Linked DNA regions of Saccharomyces cerevisiae S288C. The gene in region 3 interacts genetically with the main gene of each other region. Each region holds a gene or a part of one and is shown on either strand. Other genes may lie near its edges. The genes, in order: DSF2, BOL2 and MTC5.

The links.
Region 1: mutations in MTC5 (region 3) and DSF2 together harm fitness more than expected from each alone (negative genetic interaction), as found in Saccharomyces cerevisiae (2 studies listed by BioGRID).
Region 2: mutations in MTC5 (region 3) and BOL2 together harm fitness more than expected from each alone (negative genetic interaction), as found in Saccharomyces cerevisiae (one large-scale study listed by BioGRID).

Annotation. Positions count from the first base shown.
Region 1 is NC_001134.8:249,309-253,068, forward strand, and holds the start of DSF2 (Dsf2p), read right to left. Parts: upstream 1,709-3,760; coding exon 1-1,708. Other genes in the region: FLR1 (Flr1p), read right to left, coding at 3,255-3,760.
Region 2 is NC_001139.9:80,214-83,236, forward strand, and holds BOL2 (Bol2p), read left to right. Parts: upstream 1-2,160; coding exon 2,161-2,523; downstream 2,524-3,023. Other genes in the region: Golgi transport complex subunit COG1, read right to left, coding at 1-152; EDC1 (Edc1p), read right to left, coding at 446-973; NIF3 (uncharacterized protein), read right to left, coding at 1,213-2,079; ERMES complex subunit MDM34, read right to left, coding at 2,665-3,023. UniProt on the Saccharomyces cerevisiae protein: Involved in the regulation of the iron regulon in response to decreased mitochondrial iron-sulfur cluster synthesis. May be involved in mitochondrial organization and biogenesis.
Region 3 is NC_001136.10:707,506-711,265, forward strand, and holds the start of MTC5 (Mtc5p), read left to right. Parts: upstream 1-2,043; coding exon 2,044-3,760. Other genes in the region: ARO1 (pentafunctional protein ARO1p), read left to right, coding at 1-1,745. UniProt on the Saccharomyces cerevisiae protein: Component of the SEA complex which coats the vacuolar membrane and is involved in intracellular trafficking, autophagy, response to nitrogen starvation, and amino acid biogenesis. May be involved in telomere capping.

The DNA.
Region 1 (3,760 bases), on a different chromosome or scaffold from region 3:
GTCGTTGTGCAGATTCTTCAAGTTTGCCTTGATGACGCATAGTAATTGCCTGTCCGATGTGTGAAGATTCATCATTATCATAAGGTTCTGGGTGAAATTTAAGCTTCCCGCACTTGCTTGTTGCGTTCGATCCTTCTTTTTTATGACTGAAGGAATCCATGCATTGCGTCGAATTATTGGGCAACATACCATCTAAAGAAAGTGTTCTTCTTCTAACTTTCGGGTGGTAGGGCTTATTTGATTGTTCTGTTAGTGCACTTAGTTCACCTATTTTTGAATCTTTTTCCGTTGTATGGAAATCCGAGAAAGTTCTCAAATGAGTCCTATTTGGACGTGCTTTACTGTTCTTTTTTTTATCCGTGGATGACTGAGGTGTTGATGCTGTTTTAAAATGGAAAACTGGGTTTGGAGGAAAAATATACCTAGCTAAATGTGGACTGGAATTATTAATGGTACTTGAAGTAGATGGAAGTTGAATATTCTCCCCAGAGAAGTCCAATGAATTGGTGGCAGACCGGATAGGGCTTGATCCTTCAGACTCAAGGTCTTTCTTATTTTTTGCTCTTGTCCTAGGAGATTTAAAAAGTTTTTTTAGCGAATTTAGTGACGTTTTTTTTTTATGAGCTTTATATGGTGGCGTTGGAGGTAATGAAATATCATTTGTCATGGTATTTGTTTTCGTTATCGTCGAGGTAGAGGAATTAGACCGTTTAGGAGATGGTTTGATGGGTGTTGTATCACTCTTAGTTAACTTGAGTTTGGAGAATGAGGATGATTCACTTTCAAAAGAAGACTGAGTTTTCGGCTTTGATAGTTGTCCAACTTCAGAAAAGGAGGTGTTGGTGCTTGTTGAACTTCCGTTCCGATAAAGACAATTACTCTTTTGCGTGGTTGTGAACTCATTGGGGCAACTCTGCTTCTCGGATATTCTGTCAGTTTTTGTAGATGTATTAATATTATTACTAGTAGTTCTGTTATTCTTACTATTAGCATTATTGTCAACGCTAGTATTATTGTCTGATATCAGCGTAGGATAAAGATGGTGCAGTCTAGTATTTTCAATCCTATATTTCTCGAAGTTGAAAGGATTAGGGCTATTTGTGCTTCTATTGCCATTTTCAAGGTTTGGGTACTTATAATCTTTCTCATTTCTATTCATTTGGGGTTTCATGCCACTAAAAGTCTCAGAGTCATAATCTTCTTCGACGATATAAGAGTATCTCGACTTCACGGGCAAATGCCTTTCCACTTTACCGGAAGAGTATTTGCCTCTCAAAGTGGAATCCTTTTCTTTTAAATTGTCTATGATAAGAGAACGATCTCTAGCTTGTATATATGTTGGAGAGGGATTAGTTCTATACCTTAATGAAGGGAATTCCGACGCAGGCATACATAATGTTGGACCACTTGTTTGTGACAGTTGCGAATTTCTCGACGCGTTTTCTTCTTCTAATAAAGCTTCTTGCAGAATCAGTTCATCTTCCAAGCTGAGGTCTAATTTGTCAAGAAGTCTTTCCGTGGTTTGAATAGATTCGAATGAAATGCTACTTTTATTTGAATGAGCATAGCTAAATTGTGAATCCATTGATGACTCGAAGCTATTATTGGGTGGTGGGCTTTGTGAAACCTCTGAAGAGTTAGCTTTTCTTTCTTGATCGTCGCTTCCTATTCGATCAGCCCAAGAAGTGTTTTTTAAATTTTGATTCATTACTTTTCGTGTGACGTAAAAGTCCGTTTGTTTTTCTAGATTTTCTGTTTTTTCTCGAGGCTCCTACAAGTTCCACCTATATTTAGCATTGAGGAACAGAATGTGCTATCGCAAAGAGCAATGGCAACAGAAAAAAAGAGTTGCTAAAGAAGAACTATTTTTGAATGTCCGTGGTAATACAATGGAAGACTACTAGAACACGATGGCAGATAAGGTGATTTGATAATCAAATTCAACGACGGTTGCACCGTTGTTCTTTCTGCCGCTCTTCGTCCGGAGCCTTCTGTGATAATTGTTTTAACGCGCAGAAACACACGCAGGCTGCGTAAAGGAATGGTGGGGCTCGAAGAAGTGACAGTGGGTGTCCACGGAATGTTCTGAGCGCAGGGATCCGGTGTTGCCATCGCACACGATATGAGACGCGTTCATTTTTTCCAGCAGTCACCTAAAAGTTCAAGAAACGCTATGTTGTAATGCAGCTGTATTGTACACTGGCTGGTATTGCCGTTCTGATCTATGACTTACTTGTTAGAGGTAATAGCTGTCTTAGATCGGCTTGCTTCTTCTGACTTCCTTCTTTTTTTTTTTTTTTTCGAAGTGAGGCATGCTGCAGTTTTGTGCAGCTTCTCTTGCATCACTTCCTGTATTATTTACGTTGTTTACATTATCAGGTATTTTGTATTATTTTTTGCGCAACAGCAAGCAAACGCAATAGCGATAAATGCCATAATATAATCAAAATTTAGCAAGGATACATAGCAGCAAACCCGAACCTTTAGGCCTCTCATAGATGAAGAAAATTTGTACAATTCTTTTGGTTCTTTGGCTCTTCAAATATGAATTTATTAAGAGGAAATCCTGAAGCATCAGAACATCGCAAACTTTTTATTCGCAAGAGGATTTATCCTCTGATTAGTTATATATGAATATGTGTTCCTTCTGCATGATTTTGATATCAATAGTATGCATTTTTTTTCGATTCGTCGTAGAAACATAGCTACTCTCATGACCAAATGACTCTTTTTGGCTTTGACAGTGGAACAGCCAAGTTTTTATGTAGAAATATATTATCTGTTAACTGGAAATGATGTCTTAGGCCCATAAAATGTGCTAGAACGTATGGCTAATCCTTTTGCTCTGTATTCAATTGAGTATTTTGCTTAATTTCTATTTGATAATTGAACTTCTTACGTGTATAAATGGTTGCATATTTCTTTAGTAAGTACTATTTTCAAATATGAGTGAAGGATATTGTGGCTCAAGTAATTCCTCTTTCTTTTTTCATCCGTATGGTAAGCAAAGGGTCACAAAGTAACCGATAGTGTGTAGACCTTAGATCTTCCTTCAAAGATTTCAAGTCTGCGATAAATAAACATGAGAATACTTGCAACAACAACTTTTATAAACAATGAAGTTCATTATGAACAGTATTTATTTCACTGCTAAACTTTACGTAAACTTATGTGGAACATCTTTGTCGACAGATGGACGATAAGTAAAATTGTGTTATTATAATTCAAATTTTCATGGTAAGAACATCGGCTTTCTACTCCTCTGTGTACGAAGATCTTGTACGTAATGATGGCCCATACTTATAAAGTATAAACGGGATAATAGCTAGACCTAAAGTTAGGAACCCCACTAAGGACGAACCCCATGCCACAGGATAGTTCTTAGTAGCTAAATTGTCATACATTGCTCTACCAAACAACGGAAAAGCACAGGCAAACGAAGCCCGACAAAAACCATTGCCTGCAAAAACGGATGCAACATACTTTGGGTAGCATGTAGCCAAATATGCAAAAGTTGCTTGGAAAATGTTAAAGACAGCTAAAACAAAAAAAACTTCCGAGATAACTGGCAAAATCCAATGCACTCGAGCAGTCCAACCAAATAAGAACAAAGACAGAGGCAGGCACCAGCAGACACACATTGCCACGATTAAAAAAGCTTCCGGGGTGAATGTGCCGTTTCTAAAACGTGGTACAATAATCCTCATGTTTAAAATACCGAATAAGCCATAAGCAAGTACGCACCCTACGCAAAACCCCA
Region 2 (3,023 bases), on a different chromosome or scaffold from region 3:
GAATCGGTCAAGCTTAAGATCTTGTTATAGTTCTTTAGCAAATTCTTTTGGAAGGCCTCATTGGTTTTAGTCAAATCGTTCTGTAACTCCAATTGATAATCTTTAATCTGTGGAATATGAGAATCGCGAAACAATGGTAAGACTTCATCCATTTTCTATCGTATTGGTTTTTTTTAGGTTTTCTACCACAAGATTTGTTGTACGAATGTGTTATTTATTATTCACCGCCATGTTTCATTTTTCTTCAGCATAATGATGAACTGTAACAGAAAATAGGAAAAAAAAATTGTCATCTGAGAAATTGCTTTGGATGACCAGATCCAAAACAGACATAAGCATTCGTATAATTGGTACATAGGTATATATCAAATAAAAATATGCATTATTCTAAAAAAAAAAAAAAAAAAAAAAAAAAAAAAATCAAAAATGTCTCTCTAAAGGGTGATTATAAAAAACTTGGTTTGGGCAAGTTTTTAGCCTCCCTTGGACCATTAGTGGCGAAAGTGGAGCCTGCATAAGAGTGACTGAGTTTTTTGGCACTGCCATTACAACCCATTGGTATTATCCCTTGAGAGCCATGCGGGGATTGTTTCTGGTTCAGAAGCAGATTCTTTAGGTTCTGACTCAGTAAACGAGTATCATCTTTGTTGTTCTGTCGTGGCGTTTCTTTATTATTCTGTCTGTTTTTTTTACCTAAAGTAGTTGTAGAGGAAGGGGAAGAAGGTGGAGAGTGCTTCTTTTGATTAAATGATGGTTTCTTGTTGGAAGAATGGCCGAAGTTAGGTTTCTGACCGTTAGGAAGAGTTTGAGGAGGTGGTATATCTGTGATATAGTTGTTATTATTGGCGTTCTTAGCAGCATTTCCCCTCGCACGATTATTTCTAGTTTTTTGTTTGATTAGATTATTTGTCTTGTTCCTGCCAGCCGATGGCAACAGCCTGGAGCTGTTGAAATACATGGTATCCGTCGACATGCCTTGTAATATTTGTGTGAGTATATTTGTGTGCTAAGTGTAATTACGTTACGCTTTGCTGAGTACTTCGTCTTCAATACAGAGTATGTTATTGTCCTTGTTATTTGAAGACTTTTACCTTTTCTATCCGTATTTCTCTATCCGATACAACAACATCATTTTACACGAACAGCCGGATGATAAAACTGTAGTACGTATGGTATTTGTGATATCCTATATAGCCATATAATTACTAGCAGCTATGCAACAGTCAAAGGATCGCAATCCATTTTGCTTACGACTACTTCGTGGCCCTCATCTTGCAACAAGCCCTTCATAACGTCTTGAAGGAATCCACGCTCAGTATTTGAGTGGTTGCAAACAATAACGGTCTTGCCCATTTCTTTCCACTTCAGTACTTCATGATGTGACATTTCTCCCGTATAGTAAAGGTCTACGTCCTCTTTTAGTTGCTTAAACACGCCAGAACCGCTCCCGGCACAGACAGCGACTTTTTTGATTTTGAGTTGATTCCATGCGGATGGAGCAGCAAGAGATGCTACTTGTACATAGGGAACCCGTAAAACACGCTTGACATTTTTGACAATTTGCTCCAAAGAGATGTCTTTATTGAATTCTACGAATCTACCGTAGCCAATCAAGTCGTCAGTTTCGCCACTTACAGTTTCCAAGGCATAAGACTTTGCGACGTTCTCTCCGTTGTTCAAACCCCTAACCAACCAGTCATTTACACCGCCACGAGCGGCATCTACGGCAGTGTGAGGGCAGTATACGGATATTCCGTACTGGATTAGCTTTATAGCTGTCTCGTGTTGTGGGTTTGTATGTGGGCTTAATCTGTTCCAGCTTGGGAAAATAAAAGGATGGTAAGCAACAATTACGTTGCAGTTAGCATCCACAGCTTCTTGAGCAACTGACTTCGTGAGGTCTACAGTCAAAAGGACCTTTGTTTTAGCGTTTGCATCGGCAGTGGTGACTTGTGCAGTGGAACAATCGATGAGAAGACCCGTATTGTCCCAGCTCTTGTCTGCGTACTTTTGAGGGTAGAACTTGGTAATGCTACGCACAAGTTTGTCCAATTGTGCTCTAGTAATAGCTCTGCTCATTGCGTTTCGGTGGACTCTTGTTCTGTTTCCTTCCGACTGTGTATTGGAATAAGTTTTTCGGTGTTATATATATACATATATATGACAGGTGAAAGAATTGAAAAGGTGAAAATAAATGACGAATTTGCAAAATCACATTTCCTAACAACTCAGTGGAGAGAAACAAAGCGCCAACGACACTATAAGATGCCCGTTACTGAACAGGGACTCCGCGAGAGGATAGAATCAGCCATACCGCAAGTTTACCATATCATTGTGACGGATCTTTCGTACGGTTGTGGTCAGTCGTTTGATATTGTGGTGGTCAGCGACTTCTTTCAAGGTAAAAGCAAACTAATGAGGAGTCGTGCAGTGAACAAGGCTGTGAAAGAAGAGCTGCAGGAGATTCATGCCTTTAGCTGCAAGTGCTACACTGAGGAGGAATGGTCTAAGATTGTGGTATGAAAAGGATGATATTGTTCTATTATTAAGTTTCGAAAGGAGACGGCATTGAATCTTTTTGGCATAGACGATTTTGCTTTCTTACGTTATTTACATCGGAGAGTATGTATTTGTGTAGTTATGTACTTAGATATGTAACTTAATTTAATGATATGGTGGGGGGCTATCCTCCATGCCCCATTTCCAGTTATTTGAAGGTTCTTGCGAGTTCAAACCTATGAAGTAAAACGGTTTCTTTTTAGATGTATCTTTCTTGGAGTCCAAATTTAGCGATATTTTTTCTGGTATAACGTATTTATCCCTTATCGATACTGTTGTTTTCAAATATGGGGGAGATTGTTCTTCAAGCTCGGGTATCGGTGTTTGGACCGGTGTGGACGTAACTGTTTCAATAGCAGTACTATCATCAACAGCCTGTTCTCCTTGTGATTGTAGGTTCGATGGTGTGCGGGTCTTTTTGCATTTGATCTTTCTTCTCCTTGGTTTGGCATTGTCGTCGTTGC
Region 3 (3,760 bases):
GTGATCCTTCAAGACCTGCCTATGTGGAAGAAATTCGTGAAGTTTGGAACAGAAGGGAGGGGTGGTATAAAGAATGCTCAAATTTCTCTTTCTTTGCTCCTCATTGCTCCGCAGAAGCTGAGTTCCAAGCTCTAAGAAGATCGTTTAGTAAGTACATTGCAACCATTACAGGTGTCAGAGAAATAGAAATTCCAAGCGGAAGATCTGCCTTTGTGTGTTTAACCTTTGATGACTTAACTGAACAAACTGAGAATTTGACTCCAATCTGTTATGGTTGTGAGGCTGTAGAGGTCAGAGTAGACCATTTGGCTAATTACTCTGCTGATTTCGTGAGTAAACAGTTATCTATATTGCGTAAAGCCACTGACAGTATTCCTATCATTTTTACTGTGCGAACCATGAAGCAAGGTGGCAACTTTCCTGATGAAGAGTTCAAAACCTTGAGAGAGCTATACGATATTGCCTTGAAGAATGGTGTTGAATTCCTTGACTTAGAACTAACTTTACCTACTGATATCCAATATGAGGTTATTAACAAAAGGGGCAACACCAAGATCATTGGTTCCCATCATGACTTCCAAGGATTATACTCCTGGGACGACGCTGAATGGGAAAACAGATTCAATCAAGCGTTAACTCTTGATGTGGATGTTGTAAAATTTGTGGGTACGGCTGTTAATTTCGAAGATAATTTGAGACTGGAACACTTTAGGGATACACACAAGAATAAGCCTTTAATTGCAGTTAATATGACTTCTAAAGGTAGCATTTCTCGTGTTTTGAATAATGTTTTAACACCTGTGACATCAGATTTATTGCCTAACTCCGCTGCCCCTGGCCAATTGACAGTAGCACAAATTAACAAGATGTATACATCTATGGGAGGTATCGAGCCTAAGGAACTGTTTGTTGTTGGAAAGCCAATTGGCCACTCTAGATCGCCAATTTTACATAACACTGGCTATGAAATTTTAGGTTTACCTCACAAGTTCGATAAATTTGAAACTGAATCCGCACAATTGGTGAAAGAAAAACTTTTGGACGGAAACAAGAACTTTGGCGGTGCTGCAGTCACAATTCCTCTGAAATTAGATATAATGCAGTACATGGATGAATTGACTGATGCTGCTAAAGTTATTGGTGCTGTAAACACAGTTATACCATTGGGTAACAAGAAGTTTAAGGGTGATAATACCGACTGGTTAGGTATCCGTAATGCCTTAATTAACAATGGCGTTCCCGAATATGTTGGTCATACCGCTGGTTTGGTTATCGGTGCAGGTGGCACTTCTAGAGCCGCCCTTTACGCCTTGCACAGTTTAGGTTGCAAAAAGATCTTCATAATCAACAGGACAACTTCGAAATTGAAGCCATTAATAGAGTCACTTCCATCTGAATTCAACATTATTGGAATAGAGTCCACTAAATCTATAGAAGAGATTAAGGAACACGTTGGCGTTGCTGTCAGCTGTGTACCAGCCGACAAACCATTAGATGACGAACTTTTAAGTAAGCTGGAGAGATTCCTTGTGAAAGGTGCCCATGCTGCTTTTGTACCAACCTTATTGGAAGCCGCATACAAACCAAGCGTTACTCCCGTTATGACAATTTCACAAGACAAATATCAATGGCACGTTGTCCCTGGATCACAAATGTTAGTACACCAAGGTGTAGCTCAGTTTGAAAAGTGGACAGGATTCAAGGGCCCTTTCAAGGCCATTTTTGATGCCGTTACGAAAGAGTAGACAATAATATATCTATCCTTTTTTATATTTTACAATGCTTCTATGATATCTTTACTAAGTATGAGTTGCCAAATAGTCAGTGTGACTGCTTACATACGTTGAATTTCTGTATATTTTTACTAAGTTGCAACAGTTAGATAATTACAAGTTACCCTTACATTCTGTGGGATGTAGTCGAAGAACATCTCAGAGTAGGTCATCAAAAGATGCAAATCAGCTGAGCACCCCACTTTCAAAAACATTGTAAGATATTTGAGGGAAATCGCCTCTGGCCCGTTTATTCACTGAAGAATTAATTATGTGCAGTAGTATAAATGAAGGTCCGTATAATTCGCCCACTTTTGGAAAATCATTATCGTTGAAAGTAGATGGTGGGTTCAATGCCGTATCTATCAATCCCTCTGGTAGGGATATTGTTTTGGCCAGTCGGCAAGGTCTTTATATTATCGACCTGGATGATCCGTTTACACCTCCAAGGTGGTTGCATCATATTACGCCCTGGCAAGTTGCTGATGTACAATGGTCGCCACATCCCGCAAAACCATATTGGATAGTCTCGACATCGAATCAAAAGGCAATCATATGGAACTTAGCAAAATCTTCATCAAATGCCATTGAGTTTGTACTTCATGGGCACTCAAGAGCAATTACAGATATAAACTTCAATCCGCAACATCCGGATGTTTTAGCTACCTGTTCAGTCGATACGTATGTACATGCTTGGGATATGAGAAGTCCACATAGACCATTTTATTCGACAAGTTCATGGAGATCTGCTGCTTCTCAAGTGAAGTGGAATTACAAGGATCCTAACGTCTTGGCATCTTCACATGGAAATGATATATTTGTGTGGGATTTGAGAAAAGGCTCCACTCCCCTCTGTTCTTTGAAAGGCCATGTAAGCTCCGTAAATAGCATAGATTTTAACCGGTTCAAATATTCTGAAATTATGTCGAGTTCGAACGATGGGACGGTGAAGTTTTGGGATTATTCAAAAAGTACGACAGAATCAAAGAGAACTGTAACAACAAATTTTCCAATCTGGAGAGGACGTTACCTTCCTTTTGGAGAAGGTTATTGTATTATGCCAATGGTTGGAGGCAATAACGCAGTTTATCTGATTAATCTATGCGACGATGATGACAGTGAACAAAATAAGAAGACGAAACTCCAGCCAATATATGCATTTAAAGGGCATAGTGACCGAGTAATTGACTTTCTTTGGAGATCAAGACATACGTGCGATGGGGATTACGACGATCGTGAATTTCAATTGGTTACTTGGTCCAAAGACTGCGATTTAAAACTATGGCCAATTTCTGATAGTATTTATGGGAAAGTTAACTTTGACAGAGGCAAGAGACTTGAGGAGAAACTACCAGATTATGATTATTGCTCATACAATAAGGAACCTGAAAATAGGGAAAATGTTCAAAAGAATGAGTTTAGGCGTTTACGAGAAAACTTTGTGACAACTTCTGGATTGAAGAAAAACAAGACAAACCACATAACATGGCTCTCAGGAATTAGAATGAATAGCGCAACTTCACAAGAGGATTTATTCAATGAGACAAAAATCCAAAATTTAGGAGAGGAAGTAAGCGCCATTGGTCACAAGTTCCCAAAAGTCGTTTTTGAAAAGATATCCGTGTCCACAAGGGAATTGTGCCTGACGCTTAATGGCCCCTGGTCAGAGGAAAATCCTGATGATTATATATTCTTACGAATAAGTATTAATTTCCCTCTCAACTATCCAAACAAAGGGGACCCCCCCAAATTCACAATTGAAGAGAATTCAAATTTAACCATGAGTAAGAGACAAGAAATACTTTCCAATTTAGCAACAATTGGTCAAAAGTATACTGACTCAAATCTTTACTGCCTGGAGCCATGTATACGATTTGTTTTAGGTGAGAAGGTTAGCCTGGAGGACATCGAAGAAGGGCAAGAACCCTTATTAAATTTTGATATTGCAGATCACATAGATTTTGAAGAATTATCGTCACTGGATAGTT